Linked DNA regions of Caenorhabditis elegans. The protein of the gene in region 2 purifies or fractionates together with the protein of the main gene of each other region. This does not show direct contact. Each region holds a gene or a part of one and is shown on either strand. Other genes may lie near its edges. The genes, in order: rpl-34 and rpl-7A.

Region 1 (3,118 bases), 7.9 Mb from region 2:
CACCATTTCTCGCAGTAGAACATTTTGCTTCGTTTCCTGTCCATCCACCAACGTTCATTTTCTCGAATGCTGCCGTTTCAAATATATTATCTATGGAAGAAATTAAAAGTGTACTCATAAGATTAGATGAACTAATTTCGTATGTAGTTTTTGAGTTTATTGTGTTTTTAATTACTATGATTTCAGAAGTAACAACCTGCACAATCATCCCTGTCTAATTTCTCAAGCAGGTGCACAAGCAACAATGCGTCTTGCTTCGAAAGATCAACTGCGTTCAGATTGGAATACTTCTGTAGAAATACCTTTTTGTCTATACGTAACGCAGGTTCGTATAATATGCATCTCTTAAACTAATTTTTCAAAATTTAATTCCAGAATGGTGTATGTCCCCGGCAGTTCGACTACGAAGATTTGCATAAACAATCACAATGGGTAGCGTTATTCGAAGAAGTAATTCTGCCACTTGACAAGATGCAAGGAAGTAAACTGTCAAAAATTGCACCACATCAGCATAGTTCTGTCGTTAAAAATGCTATAATGGTAATATTCGAACTCTGGTGTACCTACATTTTGTTTTTTTTTTCAGAAGTCGAAAAGAGAGAAAAAGACGAGTTGCAAGAAGCACTCAAAATCAATTTCTGGCATAGATTCGTCTAGTAGTGGATGCAATTCGTTGTAACACTATATTTTTAATATTATATAACTAAATCTAACTTAACTTACATTTCCCTGTGATATATATATTTATGTTTTGCTCGATTAAACTAGTTTCTTTCATAACAATTTATTGAAAACAACAAAACGAACGAGCTTAGTCCTTCTGGTGCTTGATGACCTTGTTGACGATCTTCTGCTCCTCGACGAGGAAAGCACGGGTAATGCGCTCCTTAACGGCGTTTGGTGAGAGGCATCCTCCGTAGGCTCTGGTGACGGTACGCTCGTTTCTCTTGAGAAGGCGGAGAGCGATTGGGCGAGCTGGGGTGATCTGAAAGCGACAATAATTAATTTGAAAATTCTTGTTGATGTTCAAAACTCAGATTTCAATTTACAATTAAGGTGCCTATATTGTGATAAACTACTTGAAATAAAAATAATTAGAAGTAAAAACGTACTCCGTGGAGCTTGACTCCGGTGTCTCTGCACTTTGGAATTTGTCCTCTCTTCTTGATGTATTGGACAACGAGACGTCCTCCTGGGGTCTTGACAAGACGCTTCTTGTTGGAGGTGGTGTTGTACGACAAACGGCGTCTGTAGGTAACGCGGAGGGACATTTTTTACCTGAAAAATATGCAAGTATTATTTCGAAACAAAAAAATACAGATACGAAAATTAGAGAAAGAATATTTGAAATTATCATTATATGCATGCTAAAACGCCGAATTTCAACTGGAATTAATTTAGCAGGGCTGAAATAATACTAAACACGTAAAATGTTCTTGTAATTCGTTTGAAACACCACTTAAAATAGGAAAACGATTAAAATCTAATTTTTCGACAATTATCACTTTTTGGGCATTTAATAGGCGTTTTTTCATCGATTATGGATTTTACATGAATACGAACATTATATTGAATTTTTAATACGTATTTTGTATGATAAAATCGGTCAAAACCTTAAAAAATCAACAAAAAAGAGTAGGAAAAGGAAAAATTTCTCAATTTAGTGAGACGGCTGTTCCTCGGCGCGAAGACTACGGTAACACTCGTTTACCATGTGTCGTTGCATTCATTTCGCTCGTAAATCGACACAAGAGGAGAGACGGAGTGTCTCTGGCTTAACCAGCAGAATAACGCCGAATCAATAAGAGCTAACGAAGGAAAGAGGGCTTAAAACAGAACATCATTTTCTTCGGAAATGTCTCATCGAGATTTCTATTTTAGTTTTAGTAGATTTTCAATATTTCCTGAATTTCAAAGCGTTTGGAAATTTTAAAAGTATAAATATTTTCATTTAAGAAAGTTAAAGATGGATATTGCTGCACGGGTGATATCCGTTGTCGGTCGAACATCAACTTCTGATCCGTCAACGGCTTCTTCTAGTAATCCACCAAAAGTGGGAAGAGTGATGGATGTCAGTGATGGTGTTTTTATTGGTGGATTCATTCCATGTAAGAATTCTCGTAGTTTTGCAATCTTTTCAATATGAAAGCCTCGAATTCCAGCACTAATCGAAAAACAAAGATATCCATACAGTCGCCCCGAATTTTTGTATTTTTCTGAAGAAGAAATCGCATTATCATCTGATCATTCTGTCCGTCCTGTTCTTTGTCCCAGATTTCCACACCGAATGCCCCTTTATGTTGGTTATGCAGAAGCAATAAATGCGGGTATTATTGAGAAAATCTTCAATTTTGTTGGAAAAAAAATAAAATTTAGGAAAAACTGTCCAAAATGAGGATCAAGCCTCTGCAAAAATGTTAGTTCTGACACAACACCAGGGAAACGAAATGAACGGGTTTTCGTCCGACGAAAAGAAATCTGAAACGAGAAAAAGAAATTCCAATGAAAATGATGATGATCCAATGTTAACGCCTGGAGGAGATGATACCGTGAGCTATCTGAATGTCGTAAATGTGAATTGTAAATAGTTTTTTTTAAATGTTTCCAACTTTAAAAATATTGTAATTTCTCACTATTCTGGAACACGTACTTAAAGGCGCACAGACTTATGCGGATTGATTTCACCACGAAAACAATCAAGCATTTTTTGCAGCTTTTAAAGTTTACAGTAACGAAAAGAAGTTTGCTATAACGAAATCCCGAACAAAAAAATGGCAGTGAAAATTCCAAAAAGTGATGTTTAACACAATTCCCGCGGCAACCTATTCAAATCAATCCGTACGATAAAGTAGAAATTGAATTCCAATTATTAGTTGGCCCCCTCTCTCTTGTTTCATCAGAATATATTTCTCGGTTCCAGGAAAAATCCAGCATGTTTGCTCCACGAGCCGACGGAGCTCTATTCAGTTTATTCGATGGTCATGCTGGCTCGGCAGTTGCTGTTGTCGCCAGTAAGTGCCTTCATGAGCACGTAAAGTCTCGGTTATGTGAAGTACTCGACACTATTCTTCACATGGATCGACATGAGAATTTAAACTTTGGGAAGCACCGATCCGAA
Region 2 (4,068 bases):
GATCGATGAAGAACCTTTTTCTAGACAATTTTTCGAGAAGCTTCGTGTATTCCTTGCTGAATTTCACCTCCTGGAGAAGCCTCCGGAACTTTACATCGTCGCTATACGTGATTTGATACGCGTAGTCTCTATTATCGAGCTCCATATTCTTCAGCTCGACAATCTCGCCCGTAAACTCCATGAGTGGCGTGCCAGCCGGAATCATGACTGTTGAGCGGACAACGAATCCGACGGCCGGATCATTTCGGTATATTTCGAGCGGGAAGAGCTTCTTGTGCGGCAATAACATTGAATTGTTGGTGCATTTTCCACCGCATCCGCAAAGCTCGGAGCACGCGAACCCGGCGTGATCGTAGTAATGATCCTTCGGGTTGAAGAAGTAGATGGGTTTGAAGGATGTCTGAAATTTCAAAGGGTTAGAAGAGCAGAAAGGGCGATTCTACAAAATGAACCAATTTGGCATGTTCTCCCAACATTTTTCATTAAAGTTAAGTGATAAACCACAGAAAAACGCCTGTTTTATCTGAAAATTACTTTTATTTAGCTTGAAACAACTGAAAAAGTGCTCGAAAGTTGTCTTTCCCGGCAATTTTCCACTTTCAGACACTATATTTTCGCACAAAATTTCAATAAAAAATATCGGAAAATCATGCCATATCGGCTCGTTTTCTAGAATTCCTGAAGCTTCATCCACATACGAATTCAGTTTTTCCACAACCCTCCCGTGGTATTTGAAATCCTTGCATGCGCTGGTTCATAATGAAGCACGGGCATTTTTCGTTCTCGTAGCAAGGGACAATCGGCTTTGAAGAGCAACATGTACACCGTATCTGAATAAAAATACGATTTTTTTGCTGTGAAAAATGAATTTAAAAAAATGCTACAAACCATATTTTCTCCGTTTTCCTCAGACATTATGATCGCTTTCGTTAAATTGGGCTCTGTGAACTGATCGACCATGTTCACGTCAGTGTAGTCGTAGGTAAGGGTTACCGGAATCTCCAGAGACTCTAAAGTCTCGCCTTCAAGATCCGAATACACTGGAATGACGTCATTCTCGTTGAATGTGAGGTTCGATTTTATCCGTATCCTGTTTTTCGGCGGCTCGTAAGCTGGGAAATATTCCTGTAGACTTCTGAAAATCCTCCATATTTTCGATTTTCAGTAAGAAAAAGAACATTTATGCTTACTCGGGGGTGATTTCCGTCGATGTGCCCTGTTCTGCCAGCAAATGCTTCATCAAATTATTGTTAGTCCTGGCCATTACTATCCGCTGGGCTATGAAGCGCATGCACCGCCCGAGATCCTTGTTTTCAGTCTCTTGGTACTCATAATACGTGTTCAGCTCGGGATCATCGCGAATTCTCTCCAGCAGATTCAAATGAGCGTTCAGTGTTATTATGTTCGGCTCCACATTGATCCTTGTCAATTCTGAATTATCCTTGAGTAGCTGGCAACGATCGCGATAACTTGACAACTGATATGAGGAGTATCGCAAATACACTGGAAGTTCCAACTTGAAAGGAGGTGCTTTGAAAGCGAATTTTATCACACGTAACATTTCCGATGTTTTGTCAGCTGAATATTTTTTCAGCGCACGCTTCGTCTCGACATACTTCGCGTCTTCATCATCTGTCGGTAGCCGCATTGCCTTGGATCTTTTCCTTGGAGGTTCCGCATTGGATGATTTGTCGTCTGAATATTTAAAAAAATCAATAATATTGTTATCATGCTATCAGAAAAAAAAATTAACATACCGTTTTCTCCTATGGATCTTTTTTGGGCCTTAGATTTTAATTTCTCGGCATCTACAGGCATTGGAGTAGTTTTAAGTCGCTGAAAATCTACATGTGGAATATATAAAAAATTATTAAGCAAGGTCCAACGACAAAAATGATCCAAAAAGCGTTTTCTGAGTTGAAAACTCGAAAATGTTGTTTCGTTTTCGCGAATTTTAAGACAAAAAACTCAATTTCAAACAGCGCGCGCAAAAGGCGCAGCATGTGCGCCCTGCCGCACACATTTCGCTACTGACTATCAAACGTTGAATACTCAGTCAACGACTGTCCTTGGCCTAAAAATCGTCGCTCATTTTACTTTTGGGCCCGTCGTCCATACAAGATGGTGAGTTTTTTCTTAATTTGCATTAAACTTGTCATTTTTGTCATAGTTTTATGCAAATTTTCCCAATTTTTATGTTAAATTATATAATTTTCCTGTTTCAGCCTAGCAAGAAGGTTATCAAGAAGAAAGTCGCCGCTGTTCCGGCGCACATTCGTGCCCAAACTCAAGTCCAGAAGGAAGTGAAGAACCCACTCTTCGAGAAGAGAGCTCGCAACTTCAACATCGGTACGTTTCGAAACAATTCGTAGTTTCTCTCGACATGTGACTAGCGATCCTCTTCGGGGTTGATTGCTTTTCTTAGTGGAGCATCGGGGGCTTTCTGTAAAGTTGACTCCGATCCACCTTGTCGTATACCAACAGTCTGTGTGGCCCTCTACCGCTATTTGAGATGCCCGGGCTGGATTGCATATTCCTTATCCTTCCGTAGATCCTATGGGTCCGTGACGGTTAGGACAAACCATGCAAATTACAAATATCCTAAAAACGTTCCAAGATTTTATTATAATTAAATCTTTTTACAGGACAAGACATCCAGCCAAAGAAGGACGTCACCCGATTCGTCAAATGGCCAAAGTACATCCGTCTCCAGCGTCAATCCGCCATTCTCCAGAAGCGCCTGAAGGTTCCACCAACCATCAACCAGTTCAGAACCGCTCTTGACAGCCAGTCCGGTTGGTATAGCTAATTTTTTATCAGAGTCATGTACTATAAGCAAGCCTTGAGCTTTGCACTGACGCATTTACTCTGATAGGTGAAGTAAGGCTTTTGACTTTACGCTGTTATGTTTCCAGTGGTAATTTTCTGTTTTCAGCTAGACAAGCCTTCAAGCTCTTGGACAAGTACCGCCCGGAGTCGACCGAGGCCAAGAAGAACCGTCTCCGTGCTCGTGCCGAGGCTCGCGCTGCTGGAAAGAAGGAGGAGGTCACCAAGAGACCAAACACCGTTCGCCACGGAGTCAACACCATCACCAGACTCGTCGAGACCCGCAGAGCTCAATTGGTTCTCATCGCTCACGACGTCAACCCACTCGAGATCGTGCTCCACCTTCCAGCCCTCTGCAGAAAGTACAACGTTCCATACGCCATCATCAAGGGAAAGGCTTCCCTCGGAACCGTCGTCCGCAGAAAGACCACCGCCGCTGTTGCTCTCGTCGATGTCAACCCGTAAGTTTCAGATTCTATAGTTTCTTGAGCAAATAATTATTTCTTTGTATTCAGAGAGGACAAATCTGCCTTGAACAAGCTCGTCGAGACCGTCAACAACAACTTCAGCGAGCGTCACGAGGAGATCCGCAAGCACTGGGGAGGAGGTGTCATGTCCGCCAAGTCTGATGCCAAGAAGCTCAAGATCGAGCGCGCTCGTGCCCGTGATCTTGGAAAGCTCTAAATTGTTTTTGTTGATAATAAAAACTTGTTATTCAAAGCTTGTATCTTTTTCAATAATTGGTAGTCTTCGTGGTACTCATTTGGATCGGTCTTGTTGGATATTGTTGAGAACAGTTTTCCCGAGAAGTGTCTCCCTAGTTCGTCGTTGTCTTGGAGCTTGCTGGTTGTCTGCGATATGGTTTCACTGAACAATTCTAGTTGGGTTCAATTCCGGGTGTCACAGCCACAACTGTCCAGAAACTTGCAGAGTGCGATAAGAGTTCGGCTATTTTGTGTATCTTGCCTTTACAGTGCTCTTTAAATTACATAAGGGTTCATTAAAATACGTAACGAAATATTTAAGGGGAAATCACAACACTGATGAAATTGGGGAAAACTAGTAAGCACGACAAATACATCAATCAATACAATTTAGATCTTTGCCTCGATAAGCTTCTCCAGAGTTCTGGCGTCTTTGGCAAAGTTGCGGATTCCTTCGGCGAGCTTCTCGGTGGCCATGGCGTCCTCGTTGAGAGCCCATCTGAACGCCTTCTCGTCAATGCTCACTTTCGGCAGGTCG

Evidence for each region.
Region 1: the proteins of rpl-7A (region 2) and rpl-34 purify together in Caenorhabditis elegans (affinity purification with mass spectrometry; 2 studies listed by BioGRID, with this or other methods). This does not show direct contact.

The regions. Positions count from the first base shown.
Region 1 is NC_003282.8:12,267,155-12,270,272, reverse strand, and holds rpl-34 (Large ribosomal subunit protein eL34), read right to left. Parts: upstream 1,279-3,118; 5' UTR 1,272-1,278; coding exon 1,113-1,271; intron 986-1,112; coding exon 812-985; 3' UTR 740-811; downstream 1-739. Other genes in the region: C42C1.3 (Ovule protein), read left to right, coding at 1-139, 187-325, 376-540, 587-679; ppm-1.H (PPM-type phosphatase domain-containing protein), read left to right, coding at 1,967-2,108, 2,163-2,327, 2,377-2,549, 2,921-3,118.
Region 2 is NC_003282.8:4,388,618-4,392,685, reverse strand, and holds rpl-7A (Large ribosomal subunit protein eL8), read left to right. Parts: upstream 1-2,095; 5' UTR 2,096-2,121; coding exon 2,122-2,124; intron 2,125-2,225; coding exon 2,226-2,349; intron 2,350-2,377; exon of another isoform or gene 2,378-2,598; intron 2,599-2,645; coding exon 2,646-2,795; exon of another isoform or gene 2,796-2,882; intron 2,883-2,935; coding exon 2,936-3,287; intron 3,288-3,341; coding exon 3,342-3,510; 3' UTR 3,511-3,543; downstream 3,544-4,068. Other genes in the region: set-21 (SET domain-containing protein), read right to left, coding at 1-400, 699-830, 889-1,135, 1,191-1,695, 1,758-1,818; tald-1 (Transaldolase), read right to left, coding at 3,921-4,068.